Oreochromis niloticus: one gene and its partner. The protein of the gene in region 1 binds, or shares a complex with, the protein of each later gene. Links are inferred from orthologs where the notes say so. Each region holds a gene or a part of one and is shown in the gene's direction. Other genes may lie near its edges.

Evidence for each region.
Region 2: the proteins of mmut (region 1) and mmaa are in contact, whole or in part, in a crystal structure (PDB 8GJU), measured with the Homo sapiens proteins. The link is inferred for Oreochromis niloticus from reciprocal best matches to the Homo sapiens genes MMUT and MMAA. Residues at the interface, in NP_000246.2 of Homo sapiens: Lys496, Glu609, Arg610, Glu611, Gly612, Arg613, Arg614, Arg616, Ala635, Thr636, Ala639, Asp640, Gly642, Phe643, Asp644, Val645, Asp646, Ile647, Gly648, Pro649, Leu650, Phe651, Gln652, Glu656, Gln659, Gln660, Val662, Asp663, Ala664, Asp665; in NP_001362573.1 of Homo sapiens: Arg98, Ala99, Ala102, Glu103, Thr106, Glu109, Ser110, Thr111, His112, Ser182, Ser186, Gly187, Gly188, Ser189, Leu190, Leu191, Lys194, Thr195, Met197, Thr198, Ser201, Arg202, Met204, Tyr207, Ile208, Arg209, Pro210, Ser211, Pro212, Arg214.

What each region holds. Positions count from the first base shown.
Region 1 is NC_031980.2:3,621,912-3,629,176, reverse strand, and holds the start of mmut (methylmalonyl-CoA mutase, mitochondrial), read left to right. Parts: upstream 1-4,179; 5' UTR 4,180-4,304; intron 4,305-4,405; exon of another isoform or gene 4,406-4,429; intron 4,430-5,369; 5' UTR 5,370-5,406; coding exon 5,407-5,803; intron 5,804-5,893; coding exon 5,894-6,261; intron 6,262-6,349; coding exon 6,350-6,507; intron 6,508-7,265. Other genes in the region: peptidyl-prolyl cis-trans isomerase FKBP1B, read left to right, coding at 1,200-1,312, 2,442-2,570. UniProt on the Homo sapiens protein: Catalyzes the reversible isomerization of methylmalonyl-CoA (MMCoA) (generated from branched-chain amino acid metabolism and degradation of dietary odd chain fatty acids and cholesterol) to succinyl-CoA (3-carboxypropionyl-CoA), a key intermediate of the tricarboxylic acid cycle.
Region 2 is NC_031971.2:16,404,877-16,412,446, reverse strand, and holds the start of mmaa (methylmalonic aciduria type A protein, mitochondrial), read left to right. Parts: upstream 1-4,384; 5' UTR 4,385-4,488; exon of another isoform or gene 4,489-4,720; 5' UTR 4,721-4,742; coding exon 4,743-5,142; intron 5,143-6,613; coding exon 6,614-6,736; intron 6,737-7,241; coding exon 7,242-7,412; intron 7,413-7,570. Other genes in the region: smad1 (mothers against decapentaplegic homolog 1), read left to right, coding at 1-249, 797-940. UniProt on the Homo sapiens protein: GTPase, binds and hydrolyzes GTP. Involved in intracellular vitamin B12 metabolism, mediates the transport of cobalamin (Cbl) into mitochondria for the final steps of adenosylcobalamin (AdoCbl) synthesis.

The sequences.
Region 1 (7,265 bases):
GTTCAACGACTGGCTGTAAGCATGTCTGTTACAGCAGTGCAGGAGTATGCATTGAATTAATTGTTCAGCAGTTTAGCTGAAATGCATTTTCTGCGTCAGTGTTTTTCTTCAGTGTGCAGCCATCTGCTGCTAGAAACTCAAACGACTTTTCTGCAAGAAGGTTTTGTGTTTCTGCTACTCGAATGCCCTGCAGCAGGTGGTATTCACCAGGGTGTGTGAACCTGATGACTCCGCAGCTGGACCTGGCCCAGCCCGCTCATATCTGGGCTACTGGACTTCTTGGAAATGATGGACCTTCTAAGTTTAGTGGGGGAATGAAAGTGGAGAAGGAGTACAGTACCAACTTTCATGACTGGATGAGCAAGACACTGTAACTAAACTTCAGCTAACACCAGCTTTAAATGCCAAGTATTCACACTATGGCTAGAGATAAAATAACCAGAACAACCTCCAAAGTGATAGCGAATTATTATTATTTTTTATTATTTAATTTATTTATGTAAAAACAAAATCTTTTAATCTGTATTTCTAGAGGATGGAGGACAAAATCTTAGATTACATATGCTAATTACTTGAAATAAAACACATTATTATATTGAATGGTAATGCACGGCATTGCATTATATCGTATAATCTCTGAATCTCTAAGCTCAGTTATTTGAACTTTGTTTGCAGTTACAGGTTTCCTGTTCCACGACAATAGACTGTGCAGAGAAAATAACAAACACCATTAAAGACCTTACTGCTGTTGCTTTTTTCTGGCTGCCAAAGGTTCCCAAAGTTCACGACTTATCAAAGTAGAAGAACAGAGATTGAGATTGTGGCTAATGAAATGACTTAGTGTTTTCATGCCTTTAGTAGTTTAACCGCCACAGCAACAACAGCCCCGTCATGCCTGAATGGTCAGTCATTGTTCTGAAGGAGCTGAGTCTCGCACCGCTTTGCCTTTGTTACCCCTTTCGCTCACTGTGGTCTACATATAGTTAAGCAATGGCCTAGTTAACTTTAAAAATAATCCACTAAACCAGGCCAGTGCTTCCTGATTCAAATTTCCTCTGTTCATTTGAGTAGTTGAAACAGACCCAAGAAGTCCCACCAGAAACATTCCTGGTTATTGCAGTAGCTAACTATGCCCATGCACTTTTGAGTTTTGTCTTTATTTTGCCTCTAAATTTTGTTTTCATATGTTTCTTTGGCAGGTATGTTGCAGAACGGGAAAAAGTTCGACTCCTCTCGAGACAGGAACAAGCCCTTCAAATTCAAGATTGGACATAACGAGGTCATTAAAGGCTGGGAAGAAGGAGTAGCACAGGTAAGAGAGGAAGGTTGAGGCCCTGCTTGTTTTGTCTTCTAGTATTAAGCAGCGCGTTATGCATTCCATGTTCTAAGTATCCATTTATACTGCCAGGTTTTAATCGATCATACCTACCAGTTAGTTGCTATTCTGAAGGTGCTCTCATACAGTGAACAGGTGCACCACTGCAGTTTTTTAAAAAATTGTGCTTAGATGTACTGCAGTGGTCAGCAGCAATGAGAGGGAGGCTGTAAAACAGATTCTACTGTAGCTATTGGAGTTCAGATTGATTCAGCGTTATCAAATTCCTTCCTTCAGCTCTTGTATGATAATGGCAGCCACAGAAAATACACAGATATAAACAACAGTGGAGGTATTTACAAGTTACAGAGCTTTCAATTAGAGAAAACAGATGAGGACAAATGGAGTCACAGCATCAACAGCAACAGCAGTCTGACATGTACAGGGAGACGTAGATGCATTGTATCCTGCTGCCACTGATTCAGATTAGAGAACACCATTGTTGTTGCTGTTGTTGGGGGCAGGGGGGTAAATCTGCTCACTGTCTGAAAGCACTGCAGGTCTTGAATCGTAAATCAAATAGCTATGAGTCACCTTCTGTTCACTGGGTGAAAATGTCAGTGCCGAGGAAAAGCACGAGCAAGAGGAGGATGGTAAACCCCCAAAATTTACTTTTATGTCTCTCCGGGTGAAATATTACGTGATGATTCTGTGATTACTTATTTTCTGCAGTTGTGTATGTAATGCTGAGTAGCTGACTTGATTGCTGTCCGCTTGAAAGTGCTCATTTACAGTAGAAACCAAGATCTGTTATGAAAGGAGAATAAACTATGCAGTATCTCATATTTTACTTGTGGTCGGGCCTCTTGGTAAAGTACGCAAACAAAAACCCTGAGTTCCGAATATCTGCTTGTGTTTCAGGTTCCTGGTATTATGTTTGCCTGCCAACTGTCACACTGTTATTGTTTACTGGGACACTTGAATAGGGTATTAATTTACAAGTCAAAAAGTGTTTTGTGTTCTGTGACAAGGGACTTTTCGGGCGTAGGCGTAAAGTACAAGAAAATGCACATCAATACTCAGTGTGTTCTGCTGTCCCCTCCCCCCCTCTTCTCCTGTGCTGCAGATGAGCCTGGGCCAGAGGGCTAAAATCACCTGCACACCAGATATGGCTTATGGAACAACAGGCCACCCCGGAGTCATCCCACCAAACGCAACCCTTATTTTTGATGTGGAGCTGCTTAAGCTGGAGTGACGCATGGGGTAGAAGGCAAAGGTAGAAGGCTAATGGGGCTGCATTCACCATAACCCATTTCCACCGGGAGACCATACCCGACTGTCGCCTCTCACAGCCACCCGCTCTTGTGTTTCTCTGTTTTCACAGCCTTCGTTTTCTTCTTCAGTTAGGTATTTAAACGCATCTTCCGCTGCTTTGTTGCCATCGTTTTGAGCTAGATGCTGCAAGAAAATGTTCATGTCGTACAAGACTCTTACACACACACACACACACATTTTGGTTTGTTTGTTACACGTGCTTTTTTTGTTGAACTTAATTTAATGTTGTAAATTTTGTTGATCCCTGTTCTCTTTGAAAAGCCGTACTACATTGCAATCAAAACATATATTGCCTTACAGTTCGAACAGTGGAGGGGAGGGTACATAGGTTAAAAGTACAATGTCTGCTCTGTATATTTACTGGGCATTATATACCACTGTCTGCATCGCCACTTTGAAAAAAGGCTTGTCCTGCTGAATGCTCTGAATGATGTTGCTGTGTTTGGTATATTTTATAATCCTTGTGAACATTTACTGCAAGTGTACCCTATAAAATCGAACCCAATCAATACTGTACAGAAGTCTTTAAGAGCCATTGCTACTATGACAGTTTATTGACCAACTCTTGAATAAAGTGGCATGCACCATGTTAAAAAGTCTGTGTCCTTTGTGTGATTTGTGAGTGACTGATCGCTACCTCCAGAGGCACCTGTTTACCAGTTCACATGGTGTGTTAAATTTTTATGAAACCGTAATCGAATTATTTGTAAAATAAGTAAACCATGCATTTACTCACATCTGGAATCTCGCTTTCAGACGACAAGATGTGGAGGACTTCATCACTTCAAGAAACACACAGTAAACTAATACTTATTCCATTTAAGGATACAATTTCTTTGCAAGAAAAAGATCCTTGGTGTGCCAAGAAATCTGTATACAGGGGAGAAGGCCTGTAAAACCTGTATTTAATGGCCATCAGGCCAGAAATTGAGGTTTTCAGATGAATACAAATGTTTTAACTTTATGGGACCAGTTTTGGGAGGCTCTTTTTCTGTCCCAGCGTGACTGCCGCAATGCACAAACCAAGATCCATAAAGGTGTGGTTAGTTAAGTATGGTGTGGAAGAATTCAACCCCATCTAGCATTTTTGGGATGAACTAATATAGAGATACATCACTATCTGATTTGTCCATGTATTTTATCTCAGTTTCAAAACGTGATATGTTGTTACCACTTTTTATTTAACTATGGGTTTTAAGTATATGCAGTCATTGCACGTCTGTTTTTTTTTATCAGTATTTCCCACCGCATCACTTTGAATTTTCCTGAAATCTCTAATAATAATAATAATAAACATGAATTCTCAGTCTTAGCTTTGACAAAACAGGGAATAAGGGTGGTCACTATAAAAAATATGTATCAATCCCATGAAGGTAACTGTATGTGCTAATTGTTTACTACAATTAAAACCACATCAATAGCTGAATAACTCAATAAAGCAAATGAAATATACACATATACTAACAACTGTTTGTGTCGCTCATCTCTACGACAGTCAAATATCTTTGCTGTAACATGTGTTTCCGGTGTAATAGGTCAAAGGGTACTGCAGTTGATTCTCGCAACCGATTGGCTGACTGTCTCTGTTGTCAAACTCCATTGGCTAGAGGCACACACGCCTGTCATCAGTCTGAACAAGAAAACAAACGACAAGGTCAGAATTCTGTTGTAATATCTCTGAAAATACTCACTGTTAAACACGCGAGGCACCAATATGCCTCATGTTGTATACCACGGTTTTGCTTTTACGTTTACGCCATTGCAAACGAGTGCAGCTCGGTAACGTTTTACGGCTAGCTGACTTAGCTTAGCAACGAGCCTAGTCTGTTTTTTTTTTTTGCATATTGCTCTCATATAAGTCTCTAGTTTTATTCCACCACAGCGACTTAAACACCGCGTGGTTTTGTAACTTGATAAAGTGTGATGTTGTCATGTATTTGTTCAGCTTGTTTCTTTACCACTATGCTAATAACTAGTTAGCATCTTCTCTCTTCTTCTCTTTAATTTCTTATCAGCTGTACGTTAAAATACGCCACGAAAGAGCAGGTGTCCCTCGCCTGTTACTTAACTTGATTTAGTCATATTGAAATGCATTTTAAAGGTCAACAAACCATAAAAACTTGATGTGCAGATAATTCAGTCAAATCTGATTCAATTTGCATAAAAGTTTGCAAACTTTGCACACATAAGATTTTAAAAGCTTCTCCCCTGGTAGCTATACTTCTACCAATAACTTTCAACCTAAAATATAAATGATCTTATAAATTACATTTTAGAACTGACTGCTATCTCTCTCTTGTAAATGTCTCTGCTGGTACCGAGGACCAAACCTAGCCGTGACCACAATACCTCGGTCTGCCCTGCAACCGTCCAACACGGCCCATCTCTGTAAACTTAACCACATCACTGCAGACTACCTAGCCTGCACTTACAATCTGCTATAAAGTTTGAGTACATGAATTTATTATCATTTAATTTGCTTTCAAAAACACTTTAGGATATGAAACAGGCAACTCTAGCAATGCATGCAAAATATCTTCCCAAGTAAATTAGAACATTGCATGTAAGCTTTAAATTTCTAGTTTATCAAGTGACACTTGCTGCTGTGTTTTGTATTAAACTGTCAAACAGATTTAATTAGTCATTAACTGGAAATTGCCAGATTGTTCCAACCTACTACAACTGCTGATTTGAGCAGCTTTTTCTCTTCTGCCTCCAGGTTTTTCCATGTGTGAGTGATTAAGCCAACAGTAAGCATGCTGACCGCACAGAGGGCATGTGCAGCAATGGCTGCCCGGCACCTGGTTAGAACTTCAGTCTCCTCATCCCTCACACACTGCTCTCTGATCCATACTTCAGTACCCTGTCAGGACCGTTCTGAGCTGCATTCTGAATGGGCCGGTCTGGCTAAGAAACAGCTGAAGGGGAAGAACCCAGAAGATCTGATCTGGCACACTCCCGAGGGGATTAACATCAAGCCCGTGTACACCAAAGCAGACTCAAAAGATGTTGTTGATGAGTTGCCAGGAGTGTTTCCTTACACTAGAGGGCCCTATCCCACCATGTACACATACAGACCTTGGACTATCAGGCAGTATGCTGGATTCAGCACTGTTGAGGAGAGCAATAAGTTCTATAAAGACAACATAAAGGGTAGGTTTTGTTGTGGTCTAAGTTTTTCACATTTCTGCCAGACTTGCGTTGAAATAATTATTACGCTACTCTTTGACCCTCTCGTTTCAGCTGGTCAGCAGGGTCTTTCTGTGGCCTTTGACCTCCCGACACACCGTGGTTATGACTCGGACAACCCCAGGGTCCACGGAGATGTGGGCATGGCTGGAGTGGCTATAGATACAGTTGAGGACATGAAGTTGCTCTTTGATGGAATCCCATTGGAGAAGATGTCTGTTTCAATGACTATGAATGGAGCAGTTATCCCTGTGTTGGCAATGTTTATTGTCACCGGAGAGGAGCAGGGCGTTCCAAAAGAGAAACTAACTGGCACGATTCAAAATGATATTTTGAAGGAATTTATGGTGCGCAACACCTATATTTTCCCCCCGGAACCTTCCATGCACGCCATTGCAGACATCTTTGCATATACCTCTAAGGTATGTACCAGCACAGGTTTAATGAAACCTTTTTTCTGGTGCTGTTGAACACAGTGTAACTGATTTACTACCACGGTCATGTTCACAGCACATGCCTAAGTTCAACTCCATATCCATCAGTGGCTACCATCTTCAGGAGGCCGGCGCTGATGCCATCTTGGAAGTAGCCTACACCATTGCTAACGGCCTGGAGTACTGCCGCACTGGACTGAAAGCAGGTTTAACCATAGATGAATTTGCTCCAAGGTAAAAGTTGACAAAATGTTTTAATAATAATGTTATTTAATAATAGTTTATATTTCTAATAAATCTATGCTATAACACGTCACAAATGCCTGCAGGATTGCTGCCAGTGATGGTCACAATATCAACAAATAACAGTTGTGATGTTGGTGAATGAATAAGACGCTCAGTAAATGTCCTTTTAGGAACAAAACGTACATTAATATTAATGCACAATGACAGTGATGAGCCACATTTAACCAGTAAACAAATGTTTTTTTTATATCAAACCATTAAATTACTGTGAATCACCATAAAAGCAAAGTCAGTTAACCATTAGTCGTTAACTGTTAACAAAAACAAACATGCAGTTATTGCGTGCTCTTCATTTCTGCTGCAATTTACCACAAAAAAAAGAAAAAAAAATCAAGTTTTTCTTGGAATTGCACAAATTACATGTTTTTTGCTAACATGGGTTCAGTCATGTGAAAAATAACTACATCACATTCATTTGACAATACCAACAGAGGTGCCACATTAAAACCTTTAAATTTTAAAGTTATTTTTGTAAATTAAATTAGATAAAAAGTAAATAAAAAGTAGGTATTCCTCTATATTTAATACATTTTCAAATATATAGATTCAGTCACAGGGGTGCCAATGATTGGAACCTTATTTTTTGTAAAAAGCTGTCTAAATATTTCACATCTGGAGTCCAGTGGTCTTTATATTTAAGGTTGTGGTGTCATTATGCCAGTACTGAAACAGCTCCAGTGGGCCTC
Region 2 (7,570 bases), on another chromosome or scaffold:
CTGTATTACGTTGGAGGGGAGGTGTATGCAGAATGTCTGAGTGACAGCAGTATCTTCGTCCAGAGTCGTAACTGCAATTATCACCACGGCTTCCATCCCACAACTGTATGCAAGATTCCCAGTGGCTGCAGCCTAAAGATTTTCAACAACCAGGAGTTCGCTGAGCTGCTGGCTCAGTCTGTCAACCACGGCTTTGAGGCCGTTTATGAGCTCACCAAGATGTGCACTATCCGCATGAGCTTTGTTAAGGTAGTCTGGTTTGAATTTTCCTTCTAAAAAATGTAAAGTTTTTGGACGATAGATGTTTAGCCTTTTACCTTTTAAAAAAGGTTTATATGGTCTATGGCAGCAGTTGTACAAACAGCTGAGCAGCCACACACACAGTATTTGTTTGATGCTGTGCAACATAATTCCAGTTAAGAATGAAACTATGTGCCTGCCTCTATTTTGTGGTAACACTGTATAATTTGACAGTTATAAATTAAATTCTCATAAAACTACAATAAATACACATTAATTTTTACAGATAATCTTTCATTTTAATGTCAGCCGATGGTCTTTCACAGCTGAAAGCAGATTTATTACACCATGAATTTTCTGTCATTCCACACTTAAACTATGCCCTGGTTTTAAAACTCAGAAGTTTTAAAAACAAGGCACTTTTTTAAGGTGAAAATTAATTTAAATGTGGTAAAACATCTATAATGAGACAGTCCAAAAATAATTAGTATTTTCCATTTTCTTTTAAATCCACCAACTTGTAAGAAAATAAAACCTGTGTTTTTGTGCTTTTCAGGGCTGGGGTGCAGAGTACCACCGCCAAGATGTGACCAGCACACCCTGCTGGATTGAGATTCACCTGCACGGCCCCCTGCAGTGGTTGGATAAGGTGCTGACTCAGATGGGCTCCCCTCACAACCCCATATCCTCCGTCTCCTAGGCTTCACTGTGCTCGGCCCCGTGGCTGTCCATACCCCAGCATTTTGGTTTAAGTAGCGAGAACAGGGGTTAGCTGGTGCCAGACTGGTTTGTGTTTGAGTCAGACTGTTTGAAGTTTTGACTGAAATACAAACTTTTCCGGGACCTTTGAGGTTGGGCGGGTTGTTAAATGGGTTTGTTCTCTACTTGAAGGATGTCTGAATTGGGCACATTTACAGACTGGGAGAGGAGTAAGCAAGGTGAGCGTGATGCAACTGGAAGATACTTGATCTCTGTGACCAACTGTAATAATTAGACCATCATACTCATATTGATGCAAGTATCCTCTTTGATCTTGTTCCCACAACATTTTTTTTCATCTTTCTACTATTCTGACTCATAACTAGTTTCCATTTAATTCTTCCCTCGGAAATCCTGATATACAAATGTAGTCACAATAATTTTGGGACATTCCAGGTCGCCGAAATGCAGTTGGTTTCTGTTTTCTGTCCAACTGCAGTCAGGTTGGCGTGAAATGTGCTTCTGAAATGTAAACTGTTAGCAGGAAAATGTTCATCTCCAGATATGTAAAGAAGTGTGCTGGGTTGTCAAAAATGTTTCTTAGGTTATAATAAGTGAGAGCAGTTAAAGTTATCTGTATAACAGCAACATAAAATCCGCTATTACAAGTACTGAAGAATAATATGAGGGCAAAATTAGGGCCGTTTGAGCATTTAGTGTAGGGTTTAGTGTGGTGCATGGCACTCAAAGGGCATTTCAGACATAAACAGTTTTAAGTGTTGCTCATCTTGTGTTTCAAATGAATTTTAAGAGGAAAAAACGGATAGTGTTTAGATATATTCACTATTAGATTATGTGCTGTGCAGTCTGGTTTTGCAAAGCCTAGTTTGGTTAGTGTAGTGTTACACATTTAAGACTGGTAGCTGAACATGAAATGAAGCGGAGGCAAACACAAGTACAGTGTAGTTTGTCCCCTGCTGTATTCTCTGCAGCTGAATCTTATGTGTCATGCAGAGTCGAGTCGCATTGAGGACATTAATATTTCAGTGACTGCGCCTCATCATCTTATTACATTGAGCAAAACGTGTTAAATGACTGTTATGGGAAAAAGTTGAGCATTCAGATTTTAATCATGACTGAGAAAAGGGTGTCAGCTACTGACTTCCCCAAATCCTTTTTTTTAAATAAAATGCAGATTTTTGCCATTCAATTATTTTTATGCTTTGAGCAATCCTGTTTGCTGTAAAACTATTATACTCTTTACATTCTTTTTGTATTTTTTGAACATTTTTAGTTTTGTTTGCACTTTCACATGTTGCCTCTTTGTTTTGGTTTTATTTTGTTTTCGCTCCCTCTGTCTGGTTTGCTCAGTAAAAACTCCCAGAAAAGCAGTTTTATTCCATGAATATCAAGTCTCTACTGGAAGAGTCAATAAATTTGTTTCATTACTTGCAATATTTCTGTCTCTTTCATGACCACTGTCTCTGCATGTTTGTCTTTGTGTGTCTCGGTTTAATTACAGGCCACCCATGCTAAGAAAATATGCATCATGTATTGTTGGGGACTTGCAGAAACAGCTGGTGTGTGTATGTGTGTGTGAGAGTACATGTGCTTGTACTTGTGTAGGGACATAAATCGTTGCACCCAGTCAGATTTTGGGGACAAACAGCAAATCCCCTCATTAATTATGTTTTTAATGAGTAGACTTGGTTTAAGGTAAGAGTTAGTCAAGTGGGAAATGAATGCAAGTCACTGTAATGTCCTCTGAAGTGATGGAAGAGCTCCTCCTGTGTTTGTATGTATATTTGGAAGTAGACCTTCAATTAGAAACGCACAATTACAAGAGCATGTCAAAGCCAACTGCACCAGTGTTAAGCATAATTGCATTTTCAAGTAAATTGCATGGAAATGCATAAAATAACCCCCCACCACACACAAACACACCTTTATTTAAGACGCATGTTGTGATGGCACTGTAACAACCTTCCAGGAAGGTCTTCTGGAAGTTGGTGACTGGATGGTTTGAGTGTAGCTGTTTCATTTGACTTTGTGATGTGGGTGGCATGGTTGCAGTGTGGTTAGTTCTGCCGCCTCCTACAAGGCTGCATGTTTCTTGTAGACTGCTCAGACGAGCATGTCAGGTGGAATAATCCCAGTGTTTTTCTAGCCTGACTGTCTCAGGCCTGCAGTGTACTCAGAATAAAAGTGAGTCTCTTCCGTATGAGATTGAAATGCAGACACACAACACTGTTTACAGAACTGAATTTAAATCATCACAACATACAGGCCCTGAAACCTCTTCATAAATGGCATTGTATAAATTATTATTGCTATATTTGAGCCAAACAGGAAAACTCGTTTTACTGTAGACCTTAAAAAACAGCAGGGATAAAATAATAGTTTAGTTTATTATAAGATGTATTTTTATAGATGATTATTTTCTCTCTAATTCTTATTTTGTTTCTCACTGGTATTGAGTCTCCAGCTCCTGTTACTGTGCTACATGTTTCCAAGTATTCAACACATCTTAGTTGTTTTAAGGCTTTTTGAACCAGCTTCTCCAGTCCCCCCCCCCCCCCTTTAATTGATTCTTTTTACCAGTAAAATGATAACAAATTGGTGTTTGTGATCAAATAAATTAAAAAAAGGCCTTTTTTTTTTTTCTTTTTTTTTAAAGTGAGTTGTCATTACTTTCACGTATGGTCCACTATTCAAGCTCCAGCAACACAGTGAAGAATGATAATGAGGTTCATACTGAATTCAGCTGTCTTTCTAAAACCCAGAGTTCTTTCGAGAGTACAATAAGCACAATCTTTGCACAACTTTAATAACAGTGAGAGCCCCATATTCACTATCATTTGTCAAGTATTTCCACTATCTCTTCTCTGCACATGTCCGAAACATCTCAGCCTTGCCTCCCAAAATCGCCTCCCAAGATCCATAGATACCAGTTAGGTGATCCTTGTTGAATAAGGGAGTTGCTTAAAATTAAATGAAGAATAAATGATTGGACAATCTAAATAAAGGCTAAGCTGAAAATAGGTTTAGTGCTTTTTGCTGCAAGGGGAAAAACGGTGGTGTCACTCACACCCTGAAGAAGACTGCTCCAAAGCCTGGGGCCACAGTGGTTAAAGGCTCGATCCATGCCGGAAATACTGACTAATTTAATTTAAAAACACATGCATGTATTATCAAGTTCGATTATTTTTAAAGGGAATTAATCCTGGAGTTGATAAGACGTGAAGGTTTAACATCTGCTGCCACCTGCTGGCTAAAATGGCCAACTGCCATATTTAAATTTTCATTTAACTACTTGCGTCTTTTATTTAAAAAAAAAAAAACACAAAACAAGAAAAAAAAATAAAGACGCGCATATTTAAACTTCTGTGGCACATTTTAGATGTATTTAGGAAACTTTTTACTTCCTAAATAAACCGGCGGAAATACTGCGGTGGGCGGTGTCAGACGTCAGCGGAAACGGAAGTGAATGAATGAAATGACGGCGATAGGTAACCTGTAACGTCTCCGTGCAACTGGGACGAGGTCAGAGTGAGTGTAGTTTTCACCTACTTTGTAGGTATTTTGTCCAAACTACGTCTTTAACAACTGCATTTAACGAGTACGTTACGTGCTGACGTTAGAAAGAATAAACATTAGCCTGACGGTGACTATTATAACTGCTGTAACTTAAACGGTGACGTTTGTAAGCACAGCTAACAAAACAAACCTCAGCTGGAAGTACCGCTGGTTAAATTAACTGTAAGCCTGTACGCCCTCCCAGACCACCCTACCTTTGACACATAATGAGACGGTTTAGCCTCTCTCTCCTCCGCCACATCTCCTCATCTACTGCCCTCGCTCTCACCGGGACGTGCCGCTTTCACAGAAGGCTCTGCTTCACTGCTTCACGCCCTCAGTACCGGAGCATCGTCCCGGCTCACAGCTGCCAGCAGACACGGACTGAAAGCACAGCAGCCAGCCAGCACATACAGGACCTGAGTGGGCCTGAGCAGAGACTGCTGAATAAACTTTATGATGGGCTGATCGGAGGACAGCGGGCGTCTTTGGCAGAGTGCATCACTCTGGTGGAGACCCAGCATCCCAGAAAGAAAGAGCTGGCTCAGGTGCTGCTGCAGAGGGTCCTGGCTTACAGGAGGGAGCAGGAGAACCGTAATGGAGGAAAGCCAGTGGCCTTCAGAGTAGGTGTGTAGGCTTAAGTCTGTGGTGGTTGTCTGAACTCAGTTTTTCCTGTCTCTAAGTGTCTTTGAACCTAAAATGTATTAAAATAAGTACATTTTAACTAAGGCTACTGCCATTGTGTGTGCATTTTAACCTACAGACCACAGTGGAGCTATAAAGGCACGAAACCTTCATATGAAGACTATTTTACAACTGAACAGCAGTGTTTCTGTTCAGGGGGGGAAATGAATTCTCTGAAATTTTCAGGCTTTGCAAAGCCATTCAGTGGGCTTATTAGGACCCTTTTGTGTTTTAATTCTGCCCCGGGGCCTTATGATTAACACACCTTGTAGTATAAACACGTCACCTGTGCAATGAATCCTTTATGAGACGGTTTCTGCAGCAGTGGCTCTGATGTTCTATGTCATGCAAAGAAATACAGTCACACAATTTCGCTTTCAAATTTCTTCAGACTTGACCCCAAAGTGAAGTGTGTGTTTAAAAAAAACCCTGCAGAGTTTAAAATTTTTAAATTTTAAACTCTGTGTTATTAAAGTTTTCAAAGCAGAAAGTAGAAACAATATTCAGATTTAACTGTGTAGTTACTTTAACACACAAATTGAAATTAGGTTAGTAGAAATCAGCTCTTGGGGCTGTTTGGTGCTATCCATTACAGTTTAACCTTTAAACTCCCTCCCACAAGAATCATGACTACCGTTTTTATGCAGATGATCCACAGTTGTACTTGTAACTTTCCGATAATGATCTAACCTCTGTTCACAAACTAATAAGCTGCATTAATGACCTTAACATGTGGATGTCTTAAAACCTTTTAGAACTGAGCAGAGACGAGACAGAAACACTTGACCAAAAAAGTCAGAGACAAAAATACTGTTCATATTTATCATTAATTTCTCTGAAACACAGTGAACAAGTCAGGCATCATTTTGGACAGTGATCTCACTTTTGATAACCAGATCAATAAGGTTACCTATCACTTATATCTAAAGTTAGAAATGACTATTTCAAACTGACTCCGTGCATTCATATCAAAAAGGTTAGATTATTGCAAAGTGCATCAACAGGACATCTTCAGCTTATCCAAAACATAGCAGCCAGAATCCTTACAGGTACATGGAAATTCGACCACATTACCCCAGTATTGAAGACCACTTCATTGGCTCTCATTACAATATAAAATCATTTCTGTAAGTTCACAAAGCTCTCAATGGTTTGGCCTTCCAGTACATGTCTGACAACCAAGTCAGACCTCTTAGGTCATCAGGTTCTTTTAACTGGTTCCACAATCAGATCCAAGTAACCTGAAGGTGCTTTCAGTAACTGTGCTCTGCGTCTTTGGAACAAGCTGCCTGCTCACTTGAGATCAATTACATCTGTGGGTACATTCAATAACCGACTGATGTAGTGGAATGTGCTACGTAAATAAAATTGTCATTGTTTGTTGCAAACTGACGAGGTCTCTTTGATTTCTCAGGTCTGTCTGGACCCCCCGGAGCAGGAAAGTCCTCCTTCATCGAGGTGGTGGGGAAGATGTTGACAGGACGTGGACATAAAGTTGCAGTGCTGGCTGTCGACCCATCCTCCTGCACCACTGGGGGTAACCTCTGACACGTTCATCACCTGCTTTTACTGTGGCACAGATGAACTATTATTATTTTGAGCTTTACAGTGCACAGGGAAATTTTATGTAATGTTTAAAGATGCTGGCTTCAGGTTCAGGGAATATCGTACTGTTTATATTACACTGTGTTTCAGACTGTTCCTTTCTGCTCTTGGTGTAAAGTCACTGAGCAGGGATCTCTTTAACACAGCCATTTCAGGTGCAGAGCCCCGCCCACCCGCTGTTCAAAATTGTTTGCAAAGGGCAGCAGAAAGTTGTCTAACACAGGGGGTGGCCTTAAAGAGAGAGAAGTTAAAATTGCTTGCTTCAAACGATTTATTTTCCATAAATGAATCAGGCTATTTTTATTTGAGAGAATATAAAATATAGAGCAGGAAACAAGCAGAATAGGTCCCCTTTGAATAGGCTGAAATCACTGAGCAATTACGAGCAGCACTGCACAGTAAAACTGCTGCCAAGTGACTCATCCCTCTTGCTGCAGGGTCTCTGATGGGCGATAAGACTCGTATGACTGAGCTCTCAAGAGACATGAACGCCTTCATCAGGCCATCGCCGACCTCGGGAACACTCGGAGGTGTCACCAGAACAACCAACGAGGCCATTGTTCTCTGCGAGGGAGCAGGTTACGACATCGTCCTTGTGGAGACTGTAGGTAAGATGCTGTGACGTGAACCCTCGGAGTAAGTGCGTTAAAGCCATAATCTCAGCTTTACCGTTTAGCTGATAGTGTCAGCAAGTATTTGTTCTTCTGCTTGTACTAAGTTTTTTTAATGCAAACATAATTTGTTCAGTGTGAGGTCTGATAGCAGC